Stegostoma tigrinum: one gene and its partners. The protein of the gene in region 2 interacts with the protein of the main gene of each other region in a pairwise test. Links are inferred from orthologs where the notes say so. Each region holds a gene or a part of one and is shown on either strand. Other genes may lie near its edges. The genes, in order: trim36, glrx3 and mitogen-activated protein kinase-binding protein 1.

Evidence for each region.
Region 1: the proteins of glrx3 (region 2) and trim36 interact in binary tests that used the Homo sapiens proteins (3 or more experiments, as listed by UniProt). The two-hybrid records come from large-scale screens. The link is inferred for Stegostoma tigrinum from reciprocal best matches to the Homo sapiens genes GLRX3 and TRIM36.
Region 3: the proteins of glrx3 (region 2) and mitogen-activated protein kinase-binding protein 1 interact in binary tests that used the Homo sapiens proteins (3 or more experiments, as listed by UniProt). The two-hybrid records come from large-scale screens. The link is inferred for Stegostoma tigrinum from reciprocal best matches to the Homo sapiens genes GLRX3 and MAPKBP1.

Annotation. Positions count from the first base shown.
Region 1 is NC_081356.1:77,617,473-77,624,400, forward strand, and holds the start of trim36 (E3 ubiquitin-protein ligase TRIM36), read left to right. Parts: upstream 1-3,915; 5' UTR 3,916-4,711; coding exon 4,712-4,774; intron 4,775-6,009; coding exon 6,010-6,259; intron 6,260-6,928. UniProt on the Homo sapiens protein: E3 ubiquitin-protein ligase which mediates ubiquitination and subsequent proteasomal degradation of target proteins. Involved in chromosome segregation and cell cycle regulation. May play a role in the acrosome reaction and fertilization.
Region 2 is NC_081373.1:35,715,598-35,722,816, reverse strand, and holds the start of glrx3 (glutaredoxin 3), read right to left. Parts: upstream 3,075-7,219; 5' UTR 3,023-3,074; coding exon 2,961-3,022; intron 1-2,960. UniProt on the Homo sapiens protein: Together with BOLA2, acts as a cytosolic iron-sulfur (Fe-S) cluster assembly factor that facilitates [2Fe-2S] cluster insertion into a subset of cytosolic proteins.
Region 3 is NC_081363.1:79,942,325-79,949,529, reverse strand, and holds the start of mitogen-activated protein kinase-binding protein 1, read right to left. Parts: upstream 3,039-7,205; 5' UTR 2,880-3,038; coding exon 2,763-2,879; intron 397-2,762; exon of another isoform or gene 325-396; intron 1-324. UniProt on the Homo sapiens protein: Negative regulator of NOD2 function. It down-regulates NOD2-induced processes such as activation of NF-kappa-B signaling, IL8 secretion and antibacterial response. Involved in JNK signaling pathway.

The DNA of each region.
Region 1 (6,928 bases), on a different chromosome or scaffold from region 2:
CGATGGCCTTAACATGGAATTTTAAAATCTCCCCAGCCCCGGCGTCATCCCATGTCCAATCCTCGCTCTCACCCTGCCTCCTTGATCTGGCGCAACCTGCTCATCTTCTCTCCCACCTATCTGTTCCTCCCACCCCACTGACCAATCCCCACCACTGACTACCTGCGCTCACTAACCACCATCCCACCTACCTTCCCCAGCCCCACCCCTCCTTTTTCTATTTATTTCTAAGCTCCCTTCCCCCTCCCCATTTCTGAAGAAGGGTGTTGACCAGAAACTGCTGCTCTGATGCTTCCTGGCCTGTTGTGTTCCTCCAGCTCCACACTGTGTTACTTCTGACTCCAGCATCTGCAGTTCTTGCTATCTCTCTTGCCAAAAATTGGTTTCCATTACTTTTCACCATGAACTGCTCCAGTTCCCATCTGGGCAAAGAAAGTAATGGCATAGTAACAAGCATATTTTGGGTGGCATGGTGGCTCAGTGGTTAACAATGCTGCCTCACAGTAGCAGGGACCCAGGTTTGATTCCTGCCTCAGGGAACTTGAGTTTGCACATCCTCCCTCGTGTACAGGCTAGGTGGGTTAGCCATGGGAAATGTAGGATTCCAAGGATGGCTGGGTCTGGATGGGATGGTCTCCAGAGGGTTGGTGTGGACTCAGTGAGCCAAATGGCCTACTTCCACACTGTAGGGATTCTATGTATATTCCTGAAATTAAATCGTGGTTGCATTTTGAGAAGTTCACAATACTATAGCAAATGAAACTTGCGCCATCGGTTGATATGAAATTTTCAGATATACTTTGACAAAAATATAAAATGATGTGTATTTTTAAGTGAGTTGCAATGTAAGCTGGTCATAAGCTTTCCAACAAAAAAAAGTATAACATTTTATCAGGACCTTATAGGCGTGGCTGTTAGGTGAGAACAGTATAACACTGTCTACAGTAGACAAAATGCTTTTTAACTTTATATTAAAATGCTACTGTGGGCATTTAGGCGAGTTACGACACAATTGCTCAATTTTGTTTACTGTGGAAGATGTTCCTACAATTATTAATAAGGCTAGATGTATAAGATTAAAAACTACTTTATAAATGTGCAGTTGTAATAACCAGAACCTTTTTCCTGATGTCACAAGTAATTGACATTGAATATATTGATATGTAACATGGTTTGGAATAAAAAATAAACAAACTAATTTATGAGTTCAAGATTGTTGTCTAAATATAGTACTAAGATGAAATTTTCATATCAACATATCACCCTACAGTCGGAATACTTGTTTCAGCCCTGTCACAGGGACCTTCACATGACACACAAAAAATGAACAACTGCTGTTTTGAAAACCAGCTGGGAAGTTCGGCCAGTGTTCTGGTAAATAGATATCTCGTAACCTGGATTACTTAAAAGATTATCTGGTTGCTATCACATTGATGGCTATGGGCCCTCACTGTCTGCAAACTTATTGCCATGTCTCCTACATTACTGCAATGGCTACACTTTTAAGAAGTTTTTATTAGTTTTAAGACATTTTGGGATGTCAGTCGGTTACAAGAGGTGCCTTTTCAATGGAAGATATGCATATACCAGATCTGTACATGTATTCACACAGTCAATAGCCAGCATCAACCTTGAAGAAAGAAAAACTTGAAGTTATAGAGGACCTTTAACCATCTCGGGATATCACAAAGTGTTTTCCAGCCAACTGAGTACTTTAAAATTGTAGTTTCTGCTGTAATTTAGGGGAAGCATAGCAGCCAGTTAGCAAAGTGTTCACCAACAGCAGCACCACGCACACCTCAGCAGCACAGGGACAATTTGTAAAGTGTAAAGAAGGCATCAGCTAGTTTACAGGCTATTCCAGCTCTAATGCTAACATCATCTTATACTTGAGCGGACATCATGTGTTTGGATTTCCAAAAATCCTATGGAAGGCAGTGTGGAGCTGAAATTGATGCACTGTTCTGGTGGAGGGTGTGACGGTGAATAGAGTCCAATTGATTTACTACAGCTCAGTCATCACCGGAGATTAGTGACATCAGGGTCTCTCTGACAGCAGAGAAGGGGAAGTTTGATAGAAGCCAAAATCATGAAGAGCTCTGACACAGGAATGAAAGTGAAGCAGTTTACAATGGCAGAAGTGTAAGACAGCGGGAACGGGTATGTGAGGTAATTGGCAAAAGACCCAGAGCTGACATGAGGAAAGAATGATTTAGGAATGAGTTTTTATGATCTAGAATTCACTGTCTGAAATGTTGGTCGAAGCATATTCATTCTTTTTTACCAAAAGAATTGTTTGAATGGGTCAGATTTGTAGGGTTTCAGGGAAAGAGCAGAGGGCCTGGGAAATTATCCTCAAGGGCGTGCATAAAGACGATGGGCGGAACTGCCTCCCTCTGCACCATATTATCTTGTGATTCTATGATGGTGCTCGGAGCGTTTGCCAATATTAAGTGACCAACATGGGAAAACTAAACGTTAAATAAACTATTTCCAATCCGTTCTGTTGGAGCCATGACCTTAAATCGATAACTTTAAAGAAATGACGGGGTGGGCGGGGTCACTGAGCGAAGGACTGTCTAATCTTAAGCCACTTGGTGTTTGAAAATTGTTAACATTGTAAACAAAAAATGAAAACAAACTATACGATTATTTGACAATTTCGCTGGGTTGTAAAACAGAGTTCAGGTTTATAATGAATACAAGTGCATGCTGGGCGCAACGGGCCGGCGATTATCAGCGTGCCGAAGTGTGCATAGTGGGAATAAAGCCAGTGCAGGAACGCCCAAGATTAAGATCCCAGGATCAAATGTCTTATTGCATTGTGTCTTTGTTTAGTACTGGGCTCCGTCTGGAATGCTTAGGGAAAACAGGCTGCAATAAGTGGCGGTGTTGAAATGTGAATGAAATATTAACTTTAGACACAGCGTAAATGTGGCCGGGCAGCGCCGCCGGCTTGGACTGCGACAGAAATAGACGGCGGCTGTGGATTTGAGCAAACACACCCGCAATCTCTGTGCACTTGATGCTAAAGCCAGGTTGTGCTTCGTGCCCGAGCAGCCGCCTCCGATAGGAGCTCACCTGCCCTCAGCATTCCCCGTGAGATCGCGGTTTCAGTTCGGCAGCTCGGATCCGGCTCCGCACCCAGATCGCTTGGAGCGAATCCGAATCCAACCCTAACCCTGTCAGAACGGGAAACGTGGCTCCCACGGTGACCGCTCCCTGCCCCTTGGGGGCAAATGGCTTTACGTAGACTGTGCATCCAGAATCTTTTCTGGGACACGGGTGGTTAACCTGGTGCTGGGGGTGGGGGGGGGGGTAATCCAGACTCTGAGGGTGGGGTGTTAATCCTGTCTCTGGGGTTGGAGGGGGTTAATCCTGTCTCTGAGGATGGGACGTTAATCGTATCTCTGGGGGTGGAGGGGGGTTAGTCCTGTCTCGAGGATGGGCGAGGTTAATCCTTGCTCTGAGGGTGGGGGGGGGGTGTTAATCCTGGCCCTGGGGGTGGGGGGTTAATCCTGCCTCTGGGGGTCGGGGGTGTTAATCCTGTCTCGGGGGTGGAGGAGGTTAATCCCGTCTCTGGGGGGGAATGAGGGGGTAATCCTGGTGCTGGGGATGGGGGGTGTTAATCCTGTCTCTGTGGGTGGGAGAGGCTAATCCTGGCCCTGGGCGTGGGGGGTTAATCCTGGCTCTGGGGGCGGGGGGTTAGTCCTGTCTCGGGAGTGGGGGAGGTTAATCCTGGCTCTGGGGGCGATAATTCTGGTGCTGGGGGTGGAGGGGGTTAATCGTGTCTCTGAGGGTAGGGAGGTAGTCCTGTCTCTGGGGGTGGGGGGTTGTTAATCCTGTCTCTGGGGGTGGGGAGGAGTTAATCGTATCTCCTGGAGTGGGGAGGGGGGGCGGTGGAGGTGGATTTCTCGGTGCTCCGTGGCTGTGCTGTGGGAAATCTGGGCGAGGCTGTGCCGCTGAGATACACAGCTCAGCAGGCTGGAAATGAACGGATCAGCGAATCGCTAAACCTTCTCAACCTGCCCCTGGTAGACTGTAACTAAACCTCTCACAAAGGTACATTGTCCTCCTGTTTGTCTCCTATTCAATGTGTCTGACTTCGAGCAGCCCACCTTGGCTGCAGTTTTCACACCGAGATACTGCGTGCACTCCACTCTCTCCGCTGTTTAACCCCGATGGGAAAGCGGGGAGAGCTCCATTCCATTTGAATACTTCCTGCTGTAATATCCTGAAAAGCCTCTGTGAGTTACATCCGTTCCTGGTGCTATCTGCGGTCCTGAACCCAGGGCATGAAATTTACAGTGGTCCTGAAATTGGGGTTTTAATTACTTTCAGTCTATTTGAAGGTGACCATAGGTGCGGGGCACTGCTGATGGTTCCCCTGAAAGCCTTGAGAGACAGAGCTCTGTGCTAAACCCATTAGTCTAATGCTGCCATCTGTTAGCACAAGTGTTAGCGAGTGAGTGAGCAGCGGATGTTAGCCGTCATTCCGCCGGTTGGTTCGGGAATATCTCCATACCCCGCCCTCGGCGGTCACCCTGGGGCGGGGTTTTACATTCAGGGAAGTGCTGGAGTTGAGGCCGAGCTAAGGATTTCGGGGCGGTTTCAGTAGGTGCTCGGAGCTCAGCAACCTGACTGTTCCCCGGCTCCATCGACTTCATCTCCGACTGGCTTCTGTCCAGGAAAGTGCCTTTAACCAAGCAGCATGTCCGATTCTGATGATATCAGTGAGTTTGGATTCATCGTTGACAGGATCTCCAGAGGCGAGGTAGGTGGGATAACAGCACAGCCTCACTCCATCCAAACCTGTTTTTAGTGAACACAGTCAATGAGCCCCGTCTTTCTCCTTCAAGCTGCGAGGCGCTGGTCCCAGCTTTCTCTCTCTCTCTCTCTCTCTCTCTCACACACACACACACGCTCACAGTCTGGCTCTGGGCTGCTCCTCCCTGGCGGCTCTTGACTGAATGAGTCCCCTTCTCATGTCCGCTTTAATCCCACCGGACTGTATTAGCCTCTGCATTTCATCTCATCCCAGTTACTTCCAGCATCAGTGCCGAACCTGATCTGAACCCTCTGATCTGTCACATCGAGCCGATCCTAAGACAGGCACCTGTATTACTGACTACAGCTTTATGTTCACAGTTTCCAACGGTTCCATGGCCAACTTTCCTTCAGCTCAGTTTTCTGTTCTGATAAGATTGCTTGCTAATCAGATCCGGTGTCCTTCCCATTTCCATCACGCCTGTGACAGGTCTACTAACTGTGTGAACCGTGTCGGTGAAAAGGCGTAAATATATCAGTAGTAACTTCCTGCGGTGGAGTATGGTAAAATGTTTACAGAACCGACAACACACACACAGACACGCATTTACACCAACACACACACATACACACACCGCACACTTACTCATACACACTTACACACAGACACCACACAATTACACCGAAACACCGCACACCACACACAGATACACACACAAAGACACACACACATAGACAGCACCACACAGACACAAAGGCAGATTCATCACATACACACCGAGACCGAGGCACATATACTCACGCACATACACGCAGACACAAATGACTAATCTCATTCAGACACATAAGACTCACAAACCGGACTCCGGGACTATCTGTCTCTGTATTGAACAAACTCGCTCTGAGTGGGATTAGTTTCTCATCGCCCTGCTCTCCGTCCAGCAGCCACATATTGATCATTTCTCACTCTTTCAGCACTTGATAGTGGGAAATATTTGTAACTGTTTCGTCTTGCCGTCATGCTCAGCACAGATCGGATCATTTCTCAATACCTTGCTTATTTCTGTAATATGTGATCCACATTTTTTAAAGAAACGTTTCTATATATTGAAGAATTGACGTGAGTGTTACCTGTGTAAATAATCGTCCGGAGCTTTCAGCAGGTTTTCATATGAGAATGCCTGGGGTTTGGTTGTTTAGAAGCAGCGCAGGGCTTGGATAATTCTCTCCCTTTTCTTGCAGGTTCCCATTAAAAACATAGAGCGGGAATTGATCTGCCCGTGCTGTAAGGAGCTCTTCACTCACCCCCTGATCCTTCCCTGCCAGCACAGTGTCTGCCACAAATGCGCCAAAGAGTTGCTGCTGTTCCGGGACGATGCGGCCACCGAGCTGGACTCGGAGTTCTCCAATCCGGCCACACCAGTCAGCAGCCCCCGGAGCCGCCGCCTCTCCTCGGCCAGTGTCGAGAGGCTCGATAGACTCACTAGGACAGGTAGGTGCCAATCTCAGGCGTGACCCACATCAACAGCTCCCACCTGTGGGCGTTTGCTGGCCAGGGATGGGAAACACTCCATCGGCCGACCTGTTGAGTGTTTCCAACAATTTTTGTTTTACTTTTGCCTTAGAATTCCAGCTTCTGCAGCTTTCTATTTTGCAAAACAAAACGAATTACAGGGTGAGGCCCCAATCTGCTCTTAAGGAGAGCGGTACAGGGTCATCAGAAACTCGTGAGCCTGCTCCGTGCTAGGCAAAAATGTAAACAGTTATTATACTGCTAGCACAGTCTGTATATTCACACGCTACATAAAACTAGACTGGTCGGGAGGCTCCTAGTGTGGTCTTCATTTTAGTCCTCACCATTGGGGCTGTAAAGCTTAATTGAAGAGAACAGGTTGCATAGACCAGTGTTATATTCCAGTAATTATCCAACATTGAGGGTGATCTGAGGTGTTAAAGATGATTTGAAGGATTTAAGGTAACAGACAAATAAACTATTTCCCACATGTGAAGATAATAACAGAAGTTAAAAGCAAGACCATAAAATGAGACTTAGGGGTACTGCCAGGTAACATTTCTTAACACAAAGGGCATTGGAAATCAGAAATTCTTTCCATTGGAAGGGCTCTCAATGCTAAGTTAATTGATCATTTCAAAACTGAGG
Region 2 (7,219 bases):
TTTAAAGAAAACTAGAGTCCAGAATAAGCCTGCACCCCAAGAAGAATATAGACCAAGCACTGGAACAGAGGGAACCAAGCAGAATGTTGTCAAACAGTTCACCAACTTGGAAGTGTTATCCTAGATAACAAAGTGTGGAGCTGGATGAACACAGCAGGCCAAGCAGCATTCTAGGAGCTCAAAAGGTGACGTTTCGGGCCAGATCCTTCTTCAGAAAAGCTCAGCAGGTTTTCCGTGCAGCACCACATGGTTCCACATGTTTTCTAGAACATTTTCACCAGGGCTGCCTCCAAAGCATCCTCAAAATCCTCTGGTAGGAGTGCATCACAAACACTGAAGTTCTAGAAATAGCCAACATCACCGGCATCTTGATGACAACTGATCAAGATCATGCTGCATGGAAAACTGACCACCATTAATCAAAATAGTGGAGGTTTGTGGCAAACATTTCAGGGACACCCTGAGAAGTTTTTCTGCATTCACCTATCACCATCCCACCTACCTTACCCTTCCACATCGACCATCGTGAGTGGGAAGCTCAGATCACAGGATACGATGCCTAGAGATGCCAAATCAGGTGTACTATAAACACTGAGATTAAGTGAATAACCAGTATGAACAAGAAAGATAAGGCAGCGGGGTCCAATTCTCCCCAGTAGCAACTACATCTTCACTTCCACCCACTGTGGCTGAATCTGACAGTCACAAAGATCTCACTAATCACTAGTAGCCTGCAAACAATTTCAACCATCCTAAGATCTGCAAAGAAATGCTAAGAGGACTCTAATGAACTTACAATTTAGGGGCATCTGGATGTAAGTATAACATTGCAAATGTTCTTCCTCTTCTATGCACCTTCATTTTGTTGATAAAGAAGTTTATAGTTTCTCTACATCCCATGATTTTCACCATATAACCCTGTTCAGTTTCTGGACTGATCAACAAATTTTGAAGTATATATTCTGCTTGCCACAGATTGATAAGAAAATCCAGCTGATTATTATAATAGTTGTTCATGCAATCTGTGCATAAATGAATTTCATTTTTAATAGTATTAATTTGCTCAGTGCATACTGTTTACAAATTAACTAGATTAATACTTTATGAGCAGTTTGGCTGCAGGTGACAGAACAAGCCAACAGTCTCTAAAACATGCCACTGATGTTAAGTTTATAAAGAATAAGCAAAGCCAGAAGAAACAAAAAACACTGTATTGCAGAAGCTCACATTAGCAAATTATGCACAACTTGTTTTCGGTAATTTTGTCATACCAGGTCTTGAACTTGAACTTGTTCTTTCTAGGATTGTAAAACTGTTAGCTTTCCTCTCCAGCGATAGTAAGAACTGCAGATGCTGGAGTCAGGGATTACAGTGTGGAAGTGGAGGAACACAGCAGGCCAGGCAACATCAGAGGAGCAGGCAAGTTGATGTTTCAGTTGGGACCCTTCTTCAGAAACAGGGGTGGGGAAGGGAGCTCAGAAATAGAGAGAGGAGGAGTGGGGCTGGGTAAGGTAGGTGGGATGGTGATAGGTGAATGCAGGCAGAGTGTGGTTTGGATTGGGCAGTGAGGTAGGAGGGGTGGACAGGTGGAAGCGAAGATGGACAGGTTGTGTCAGGTAAAGGAAGCGAGGTTGAGAGGGAGGGTTGGTCATGGGATGAGGCCAGGGGCAAAGAGATTTTGAAACTGGTGAAATCCACATTTAGGCCATTGGGCTACAGGCTCTTGAGGTGCTGCTCCTCCAGTTTGTGGGTGGCATCACTGTGACCAAGCGGTGGCTTGGAGACCATATTGTAGCGCAGAGCTCTGTTTGTGACAAACGACAACACCTTCTGGTCACCAACTATTTTAACTCCCTCTCCCCCTCTCTGGGTGATACGTCCATCCTGGGCCCCCTCCAGTGTCACAAACCCACAAACTGGAGAAGCCTACAGCCTAAATAAGGATTTACCAGTTTTAAAACATCCCCACCACTGGCCTCATTTCGTGTCCAACGTTCCCTCTCATCCCCAAGGCCTTGACCTGGCACAACCTGTCCATCTTCTTGCCTTCCTATCCACCGCTCCCACCTGACTGACCAATCCCCACCACTCCCTACATGCATTCACCTATCACCATTCCACCTACCATCCCCAACCCTATCCCTCCTCAATCTATATTTCTGAGCTCCCATCTTCCGCTCCGTTTCTGAAGAACGGTCTCAACCCGAGACGTCACGTTTCTTGCTTCTGACGCAGCCTGGCCTGCTGTGTTCCTCCAGCTCCACACTGTATCATCCCAGCTTTTGTCTCCATTCATCTTCCCTCCCAAAATTCGTAAATATAAACTTAGCAGCATCTAATCATTGTTTCTCTTGTTATTTGGGAATGACAAGAATCAGGACCACTAATACTCCTACACAGAATAAATCACGACAAGTGAATGATACAGCAGCCCGTTTCCTCATCGCAATGTCTGCGTAAATACCCCTTGACTGGAGATAACACCCACATAAACAATTCACCTAGTCAAACGTGTTCGGATGGAGGCAAAGGTGGTTGGAAGTTACTGCCAGTTTCTTTACGACTCACGTTTTCAAAAAAAAAGTTCATGGTTAATTATACCGAATCGTCTCTTTTCGATTCGCACAATCCCTCTTCCCCAAGCCCAACCCCCGTCAGCAACAACGCCAGGAGAACAGCTTCGTGTGTCTGAGGTTCACCGCCCGACTCTCCACCAGTGCCTTTCCACCGCTCCATGGGCGGATCCCGCACTGAAAACCCGCCGGGCTTCCTTCAGCCCGAAAACTCTACGGGAAAGGCTGAAGGAAGCAGCTCCTTGGGCCTCAGCAATGTGCCCACACACCGGCCTTTCCATCCCCGGGGGGGTGTGGGGAAAGGAGGCCGCTTCCATCAGCCCGGGGAACTGGTGTACACGTTTTTCGGGAAATCTCCAAACGTCACCCCCACGGCCCCGAACCTACCTCTTAGCTTTTTCCAGCACCTCCTGGAACTGGGTCGCACTCTCAACGGCCGCCGCCGCCATGATGAGCAGACCACACTAGTGGCACATCGAATGATCCGAGTGATGATGGATTGATCAGTGCCCGCCCCCTTTGCCTTTTACAGGCATGTCCCAGCTTCAGTCTGTCAAGAAGCAGCATTGCCAAGACTTTTTCACAATGTATGACACATACAACCTTTCAGTTCCTTTTTTGTTCGTTTGAGGGTGTGCAGTGCAACACATTTACGCTTCCTTACTAAGGTTGACTCATTAAAGAAATTTATGGATTTTTTTAAAGAGATTCATTGATTTATTCAAAGGACCGTTAATATCATGAGCTCAGTATTTATCAGCTTTGATTTCAGCACATGGGTAATACCAATTCGAAACCTTGCCATTCGAGTTTAAAATTTCCCCAGTTACTTTGGAAAAAAGTAGTGAGCTGAGTTGTAACCAGTGAACCCAATGGTGTAGTTTAAATGGAAGACCCCTGAGAAGAACATAAAAATATTAAAAATCTTATATCCTCAATCTTCACCATGTTATCAGAATAACTATGAAAAAGGTAATCATGTGGAATAGTTTGGAGATTTAAAGGGTGATACAGCTATACGTTTTGTGCAATGAATAACTGGAGCTGAATGATTGTGCAAACTGAAAGAACTGTGGAAGCTGTAAATCAGGAAAAAAGACAGAAGTTGCTGGAAAAGCTCATCAGGTCTGCAGAGCTGATGGTAGCTAGGAAACTGTTGGCTTATATGTAGAAGATAGGGTAGGGGAGAGGGGTAGGGAGGAAATGATAGGTGGGAATAGAACCCAGAGAGAAGAACTGTTGGACAAAGGAGTTGATAATGAACAAAAACAGAAGTTGCTGGAAAAGCTTAGCAGGTCTGGCAGCATCTGTGGAGAAAAAAAATCAGTTTACATTTCAGATCTGGTGACCCTTCCTCAGAACAGTTGATAACGATCTGGCTAGGAGAGTGAATACCTGCTGATGGAGACTGTAAGTCACAAACAATATGTAGTGTGTAGTGGCAGGCTATGTAAATCCCGATAGTGTGGAGGTAGGCCATCAAGTCCACGGTGAACTTCTGAGAAGCAACCCACCCTAGACACAGTGGGCAATTTAGCATAGGCAATCCACCTAAGCTGTGCATTTTTGGACTGCAGGAGGAAACTAGAGCACCTGGAGAAAACCCACACAAACATGGGGAGAATGTACAAACTCCACACACACTGTCACCCGAGGGTGGAATTGAACGCAGGTCAATGGCATGGTGAGGCAACAGTCCTAACCACTGAGCCACCATGCCACCGTAAAGATGATAACAAGGTAGACAAACAAGAAGCTAGAAGAACATAGCAGCCAGGCAGCATTTAGAGGAAAAGAGCAGTCAGCATTTCAGGTATTAGTGATAATGGGAACTGCAGATGCTGGAGAATCCAAGATAATGAAATGTGAGGCTGGATGAACACAGCAGGCCCAGCAGCATCTCAGGAGCACAAAATCCGATGAAGGGTCTAGGCCCGAAACGTCAGCTTTTGTGCTCCTGAGATGCTGCTGGGCCTGCTGTGTTCATCCAGCCTCACATTTCATTATCTAGCATTTCAGGTATTGTTGGCCAGTAAACAGGGTGGTGTGTTAAAGTGGAGTTCTAGTGAAGCTCAGTGCAAACCGAAAGAACAGCAATCTCATTTTCAGAGATAGTAGGAAATGCAGACGCTGGAGAAGCTGAGATAACAAGATGTAGAGCTGGATGAACACAGCAGGCCAAGCAGCATCAGAGCAGCAGGAAGGCTGATGTTTCAGGCCTAGACCCTTCTTCAGAAGTGGGGGAGGGGAAGGGGGTACTGAAATAAATCGGGAGAGAGGGGGAGGCGGATAGAAGATGGATAGAGGGGAAGATAAGTGGAGAGGAAACAGACAGGTCAACAAGGTGGGGATGGAGCCAGAAAAGGAGAGTGTGGGCAGGGAGGGAAAAGATAGGTCAGTCCAGAGAGGACTGACAGGTCAAGGGGGCAGGATGAGTTTAGTGGGTAGGAGTGGGGGTGGGACTTGAGGTGGCAGACAGGGATAGGTGGGAGGAAGGACAGGCTAGGGAGGCGGGGCGAGCTGGGCTGATTTTGGTATGCGGTAGGGGGAGGGGAGAGTTTGAAGCTTGTGAAGTCCACATTGATACCATTGGTCTGCAGGGTTCCCAAGAGAAATATGAGTTCTTGTTCCTGAAACCATCGGGTAGCATCGTTGTGGCACTTCAGGAGGCCCAGGATGGACATGTTTTCTGAGGAATGGGAGTTGGTGTTGAAATGGTTCACGGCTGGGAGGTGCAGTTGTTTAGTGCGAACCGAGCGTAGGTGTTCTGCAAAGTAGTCCTTAAGCCGCCGCTTGGTTTCCCTGACATAGAGGCGGCCATGACGGTAACAGCAGATGCAGTATATCACCTTAGCAGATGTGCAGGTGAACATCTGTTTGATGTGGAATGTCTTCTTGGGGCCTGGGATGGGAGTGAGGAGGGAGGTGTAGGGGTAGGTGTAGCACTTCCTACAGTTGCAGGGAAAAGTGTTGGGTGTGGCGGGGCTGGAGGGGAGTGTGGAATGGACAAGGGAGTCATGGAGAGAGTGGTCCCTCCAGAAAGCAGATAAGGGTGCGGTTCAAAGCTTCACAAGCATCAAAATGTCCCCTCCCCCTACTGCATCCCAAAACCAGCCCAGCTCATCCCCGCCTCCCTAACATGTCCTTCCTCCCACCTATCCTCTCCTCCCATCTCAAGCGCCACCCCCATCTCCTACCTACTAACCTCATCCCCCCACCCTCGACCTGTCCATCTTCCTGGACTGACCTATCTCGTCTCTACCTCCCCACCTACACTCTCCTTTACTGACTCCATCCCCACCTCTTTGACCTGTCTGTCTCCTCTCCACCTATCTTCTCCTCTATCCATCTTCGATCCGCCTCCCCCTCTCTCCCTATTTATTTGAGAATACCCTTCCCCTCCCCCATTTCTGAAGAAGGGTCTAGGCCTGAAACGTCAGCTTTCCTGTTCCTCTGATGCTGCTTGGCCTGCTGTGTTCATCCAGCTCTACACCTTGTAACCTCATTTTCACCTCTTTTAAACTATCAGTTCTGAGGAAGGGTCACTGGAATTAAAATGATAACTCTGATTTTTCTTCATGCAAGTCTACTTTTTGTGTTTATGTTGTATCTGTTTCCTGTCTCCATCATTGTAAAGCTTACTTGGAAATTGTCTTTCTTTTCCCAAGACTGGGGGCATATTGAAAATACAGATGTATATTTACAGACTATGTGAGATAAGCTGGAAGAGGTCAAATTATTTGGACACTTTCTGAACTGAAAAGCATCATTGATCTTTTGTAATTTCATTCAGCAGGACTTGAGTTGTAAGCCACAGCTAATTATTGAAGTCAAATTCAATGTGTTCTGTAAATCATCTCCTCCTTTCACCTGAAATCAAATAATTGTGGAGAAACAGATAAGCATCAATTTCAGGATGAGAAAGTGTTTATCACTGTGATTACTGTTAGAAATTACTTGAAGAGAGGATATTAATGATTGCCGAGCAACCTTCCCTGATCTGAGAACTATGTTTTGCATGACCCTGAAGTCAATGAGTAAAGAAGTCACCCCCCAGGAAGCTGTAGTCTCTCTCCTGAAGTCCTGCTTTCAGAAGACTTCTCTGGGAATTTGATGGTTTTGGACACTAATTCTGTCCTGGACTGAAATTCTCAGCAAGATGAGTTCAAGTGGAATGGGAATCCAAGCTGGACAAAATTGGTAGGATATTTTAATGAATGTGAGATGCTGTTGCTTTTTTATCCTTTTGTTTTCAGACTTTTGACCAGAGGAGTGTTATATATATCCCATTTTGCCTTAAACCCATCTTCTCTGCAGAGACATTTTTTGTGCTGTTTGTATGTTGAGAAAGAGGATATGGTTTTAATTCCACATCATAGTTTAGGTATTGATCAGTTGTTGCTACTTCTTTTAAGTTTTGTTCACTATAAACAGGTTATTTTGAGCTCATTATAGACTGGTCAATGCAATGACTCCACAGAGTTCGCTATCCTGTCACCAAGTCACCTTTTATTTGCACATGGACAATTTTTGTGACTGAGTTAGCTCAGAACGAAGAGAACCTCTGACATTCCTTTTTATATTTGTCGGTCAGGGCTCCTTGATTGGGACAGCCCCAATCAGGAAACTCACATGTATTCTATTAT
Region 3 (7,205 bases), on a different chromosome or scaffold from region 2:
AAAGCTGGGCTTTAATTTGCACAACGTGCGGATCACGGAGCTGCATCAGGCTGCTGGCAATGATGAGGCACCCAGGGAAATCATTGGCTTGCACAACCAATATTCCACAATGATGCACTGCTGGGGTTGGCGGGGGGAGCGCAGTGAGGATGAAGAGCGGGGAAGGGAGAGGTTTATTCACAAAGCAGATCAGCAGCAGCGAAGGCCAGCCAGGTAGGTATTTACCATGATACAGACAGTGCCAGTCTTAAACTTCTATCTCACATGGGTCTCCTGCTCACCGTGAAAACTTTCACTGAATGAACGTGGGGGCAACAGACTGACCTGCCTGCATTCAGCAGCAGTGTAAATTGAGGTGACGAATTTCACGCTTGCACACTGTCTGATGATATAGCATCGTCATGTTACGCCTGTTTGACCAATTCATGAACCAGAGTGACCTCCATTGGAGACGCCTCAGATATATCAGTAACAAGCATGTTCCCACTGCCTGCAGCAGCTCTCTCCATTGAAACCAGAAACCAGTATCATCAGGTTTATCTGCGAAATAACATCGAGCACACAGGACACAATGAAGAGATCTGAAACCCAGACAGGTGGTGCACAGTAATGGCATCAAGATCCGCGATTTCCACAACGGGTACGAACTGAGACCGTAGGCACACTGACCACTTGGGACAGGGGCCGGGTGAGCGCTGACCACACAAGACATTGGCAGGGACAGCACTGACCACTCAGGACATTGGCAGGGAGAGCACTGGCCACGCAGGACAGACCCAGAACACTGGCTGACCACTCCAAACACAGCTAAAATGTTTGCTGACGGCTTGGTCAGGGCTAGAATACACACTGACCCACTCCAGACAGGGGCTGGGAATACACAATGACCGACTCCGGAGTGGGGCTGGGATACACATGGACCCACACCAGACAGGGCGGGAATACACACCGACTCACTCCGGACAGGGGCTGGGATACACACTGACCCACTCTGGACAGGGGATGGGAATACACACCGACCCACTCCGGACAGGGGTTGGGATACACACTGACCCACTCTGTACAGGGGATGGGAATACATACCGACCCACTCCGGACAGGGGCTGGGATACACACTGACCCACTCTGGACAGGGGCTGGGAATACACACCTACTACTCCGGACAGGGGCGGGAATAAACAACGATCCACTCCGGACAGGCGCTGGGATACGCACCGACCCACTCCGGACAGGGGTAGGAATACACACTGACCCACTCCGGACAGGGCGGGAATACACACCGACCCACTCCGGAAAAGGGGCTGGAATACACACCGACCTACTCCGGACAGGGCGGGAATACACACCAACCCACTCTGGACAGGGGCTGGGAATACACACCGACCCACTACGGACAGGGGCGGGAATACACACCTACTACTCCGGACAGGGGCTGGGAATACACACCAACCCACTCTGGACAGGGGCTGGGATACACACCGACCCACTCCGGAAAAGGGGCTGGAATACACACTGACCCACTCTGGAAAAGGGGCTGGAATACACACCGACCCACTCCGGACAGGAGCTGGGATACACACTGACCCACTCTGGACAGGGACTGGGAATACACACTGACCCACTCAGGACGGAGCAGGAATACATACCAACCCACTCCGGAAAAGGGGCTAGAATACCCACCGTCCCACTCCGGAAAAGGGGCTGGAATACCCACCGTCCCACTCCGGACAGGGGCTGGGTTAAACACCGACCCACACCGGATAAGAGGCTGGAATACACACCCACCCACTCCGGACAGGGGCTGGAATACACATTGACTCACTCTGGACAGGCGCTGGGAATACACACCGACCCACTCCAGACAGGGGCAGGAATACACATTGACCCACTCCGGACAGGGCTGGAATACACATTGACTCACTCCGGACAGGCGCTGGGAATACACACCGACCCACTCCAGACAGGGGCAGGAATATACACTGACTCACTCCGGACAGGGGCTGGAATACACACCGACCCACTCCGGACAGGGGCGGGGCTACACACTGACCCACTCTGGACAGGGGCGGGAATTCACACTGACTCCCTCCGGAGAGGGGCTGGAATACACACCGACCCACTCTGGACAGGGGCGGGAATTCACACCGACCCACTCTGGACAGGGGTGGGAATTCACACTGACTCCCTCCGGACATGGGCTGGGATACACACTGACCCACTCCAGACAGGGCTGGGATACACAAGGGATGGAGAGAGCTGCGGAGAAAGATGCCAGGTGGGCGCGGAGCAAGTGGGCAACATCCAAAGAGGGATAAGCCCGGGATGGAAGGATAAGCCGGGGATGGAGGGTGGTGGGGGTACAGGTACAGGTCATGTCCCCCCTCTGAAAGCCCCCCCCCAGGGAGGGAAAAGGCACATTCGCCCCTACCCCCACACACACACCACACCCCCTCCACCCCCCACTCCCTGCGGCGGTCTGTGTGTGTCGACCGCAGCGCACAGGTTTGGCAGAGCACTACCCCCAGCGCCCACCTCCCCGTCTCCCAAAGCCCACCCGGAGCGTGTGTCTGTCTCTCCCTCTCCCGGACACCTCGCCAAGTGCTGCAGCAGCTCACCATCGGTGCGGGCAAGAGCTGGGGGTGCTGGCCGTGCAAAGGCCGGGAGGGATGTACGCCAGGATTCCCCGCCTTCCCCCCGCACCCAAACCCTCAAACCCCGAGGGGCAGAGTGACAGCGAGGCGGGGGACTCCCGGGACACTCACCTTGTCGGCGATCTGCCCGCCTGCTGTTCGCTGTTTGCTCCTCCGCAGCTTGAGGGACGGGGAGCGGAGCAGCTTCTTGATCCTGGTGGTGAGGTTGGCCGTCCCCAGCTCAGCCATGGCTGTCTCAGCCCTTTTCCTTCTCCTGCTCCCTCGGCCGGCCACCTACCTCCGGGCAGCGCAACCCCCCACCACCTCCCCAGCCGGGATCACCGAGCCCCTGCCGCTGTCTCTGCCCGTCTCTCCAGCAGCATTTTCCCCGGGACGCTCCGGCTGAGAGCCTCCCCCGCACCCCGGCACAGACAATCACCTCCCCCCACTCCGCCTCCCCCCAACAGCCGTACCCAGCGATCAGAGCCCGCAAGTACCGCCCCGACCCCCTCCCCCCCACCCCCACCACCCCCCCCCCACCCCCGCAAACCTTCCCACCGAAATCACCCGGGCCGATCAGCTCCCACTAAAGCCCCCACCCCCTCCTCTATGCGATCGCTGTGCGGATCTCTCACGGATTACCGCCCCCTCCGTCAATGTTCAAACATTACACAGCGCGCAGAGGCAGCGAGGGCACTGGGACAGGCTTCACACACCGTTCCCTGCGCACCACTCACTGGGACAAAAGCCAGTTCAGAGAAATAGGTCACACGTACACTCAGGCTGGTACATATTACACATACACCCAAACCTGGTACACATTACACCTACACCCCGACTGATACACATTACACGTACACTCCGACTGATACACATTACACCTACACCCCGACTGATACACATTACACCTACACCCTGACTGATACACATTACACGTACACTCCAACTGATACACATGACACATACACCCCGACTGACACACATTACACCTACACCCCAACTGATACACATTACACCTACACCCTGACTGATACACATTACACGTACACTCCGACTGATACACATTACACATACACTCAGGCTGGTACATATTACACATACACCCAAACCTGGTACACATTACACCTACACCCCGACTGATACACATTACATGTACACCCCGACTGATACACATTACACGTACACTCCGACTGATACACAATACACAGACACCCCGACTGACACACATTGCACACACACTCCGACTGATACACATTACACATACACCCCGACTGATACACATTACACCTACACCACGACTGATACACATTACACATACACCCCGACTGATACACAATACACATACACCCTGACTGATACACATTGTGCAAAACTGAATCTAACTGGGTGCTCAATTCAACTGCAGCCCGAGTGGGACATTTACGTTTAGCACTGTACTATGTGAATCAAACAGATGCAGCATGGGATTGGGAAAATTATCGTTGCTTCAAGTTCCGGGCCCCAGATGAAAATCATTGTCTCTTTGGCTGCAGAATAGTGGTAGGAATCTGTAATGATTGCAACAAGATCTGCACCCTCATAGGATACAAGTTGCCTGATTGGGCCTGCTCATCTGGTGCAATCAGGGAGCCCTGGCTGACAGATATAAACAGAAGGGTCAGCGGTTCTGAGGGTGGGCTCTGAGGGAGCTGGATCAGTGCCACGGATGCTCTATGTGATAGTAAAGGGTGACTTGGTGATGGGATACTGGCCTCTGTGGAGTTATCTCAGACAGTATTAAGGAAGCTTTACTTGCAATTTAAATATGTGGGGAGACATTTCCCATGCTGTACCTGTCTTGGAAGTGTTTGATGCGGGCCACGTCAAGAAGGCTTTACATTCAGTTTAAAAGAATAGATCGGAGACATGGAATCCCTGTTGTAGCATTCTCTGAATGAATTGCCAGGGAACTGAATTCCACTGTGCCTGGAACTTCTGAATGGCTCCTTTCAAATCTGTGAGTTTGCAGGATTCTGATTAAAATGAAATAAAAATAATTCCTCAGGAAAATTTATGTCTATTAAACACATGAAGGTGCTGCCCCAACCACGATTCTGCTGTGTTTTTACATCTATACTGGCCTGGTGATTTATTATGGAAAGTTCATATATACGTACACAGACCTTCCATCCTCTTAACTTTGCATCAACTCTTATAAAAGAGTCAGTCTTGGAAACGGTTGCCTCGCCAAGTCATAGCTTTAAGGTGTTGGCACACTGCGATTCCAAGCGAGGTCTGGTATTGACATGTGATGCTTCCCCATATGGCATTAGGGTAGTATGAGCTCTTAGATGGTGAGGGAAGACCAATAAAGTATCCATCCAGGGCTTTGGCTAATGCAGAGCCTAAATAGACCCAGATAGAGAAGGAAGGTTTGGTGGTCATGTTTGGAGTCAGGAAGTTCCACCAATACCTTTATGGATATAAATTTGTCATAATAATGGACCACAAACCCCTGCTTGGTGGGGGGGGTCTACTGAAAGGGGGCAAGGCAGTGCCACCCAGAGCTTCAAGACAAATTCAGCAGTGGGCTCTAATACAAAGTGTGTATAATTACAAGTTAGAACATAGCCCAGGAGACCAAGTAGTGAATGTGGATGTATTGAGCCATCTCCCACTGACAGATACACCACCGGTGGCACCAGTCACTGGAAGAGCCTGTCATGGCTTTCCAACTTCTGCACACACTTCCAGTCACAGCCAACAACACCAGAGTTCGGACACGGAAGGATCTGGTTCCAACAAAACTGAAGCAGCAGCGGGGGGTGGGGGGGTGGGCGGGGGGTGGTGGTGGTGGTGACGGGGGAAACCGAAGGGTTACCACAACCAGTACTGAAATCTTTCCGGACCTGGAGAGACTGGGCCGCAGAAGAGGGCGACACATTATTGCAGGGAGCAAGTTGCCCTGAGCAGATACTGGCTAAACTCCACCAGGGTCATCCAGGGCTTTCCACAAAGAAGAACGTTGGCGAAAAGTTACGATGGTGGCCAGGACTGGATGCAGAGAAACCCAAACTTTTTGGCACCTTTCTGGATAATTGTCACAAAGGGACAAACAGAAATATATCTAATACAGAAATCCAGGAGACACTTATTCACACAGCAAACGACGGAAATCTAAATGTTTATAACCATGAGTTTTAGTTTAAATGAATAACGTTGACACTTCTTTTTGGAAGATAATTTGATTTTAAGAAAGCAAGTCGTGAAGGGGTCTACAAAAGTATGTGGGATAACAAAGTGTGGAGCTGGATGAACACAGCAGGCCAAGCAGCATCTCAGGAGCACAAAAGCTGACGTTTGGGGCCTAGACCCTTCATCCCATTATCTCTGATTACAAAAGTATACAGGTTAGTTACGTGAGTTGGAACTCTCCAAACATCCTTGTAAATATTTTCTGCACCCATTCTAATTTAACAGCATTCTTCCTATAGCAGGCCGATTTGAATTGTACGCAGTACTCCAAACGTAGCTGCCGAATATTTTCATGATTGCTGGTATGAAGACTTCTGCTGGGTCACCCCTCTGAAGAAAAGAGTCACAAGCTCCTTCAACCAAATCTATTTAGTAGAGTAAATTCACACTGTTCTTATGTAAAGAGGGATAGTCCTCAGAGATGGGGGATCCATGGAGATTCACGGTCAACTCCTGTTCCTTCCACAATTGTGAGAGTGAATGGAACAGCACCGACAGTAGATTTAGCGGAAAACTGGGCAAAATGTTGATGGGGGCAACATTAGTGATTGTGTGCTTCGTTGTGTGCTGTACAAATCTATAACTGATACGCAGCACATTCCACGTTGATATTCACACGCTCGTACTCCATTGCTTCAAAATTCAACAAACAAAAATCCAGCACGTTGGCCATAAATGTGCTTTTTGTTCGATGAATGCATTCCAGAGGTGCCCACACACAGCAAGCTCCGTAGCATTGCTAAAACCCTTCCTCTACAGCATCAAACGTTGGATTCTCAGAGATCTGATTAAAGCACAGATCACAGCCACAGTTTTAAACCTCCCTCCACCCCCAACCCTCCAACCAGCCCATAGGCCTAACAAATACAATTTGAGACACATTGGAGAGAGTCCAGAGAGTGGAAAATATCAGATTAATTCAACCCGAGCTCAACTTAGTGCATTCCTGCTACCCCAACCTTGGTTAATTCAAGTTTCAGGCTAAGATTCTATCTTAAAGGAGATGAGTGAGTGGGGTCAATGCTGAAGACTGAGATGTCCTAGTTCAGTGATGGTGTCACAGGGGTGAGCCCCACACCCTCCACCCCCTGCTGTAGCTGCCTGCAGCAACAAATAGAAGGGAGGACATATAAATGGACCAGGCTCAGCCACATTTCAAAATGCTACCCTCTGGGGCAGGATGAGGAGGAGCCCCTGAACACTTCACAGAGTTTCCCCACCTCCAGCATGTATTATGCTTGTGATCTTGTGACCATATCAGAGTTTAGGGCCTAAACTCCCCCATGTCCCAGCCCCCCACCCAACACACCAGGCCTTGTTACCACACAGCCTGCCATTACA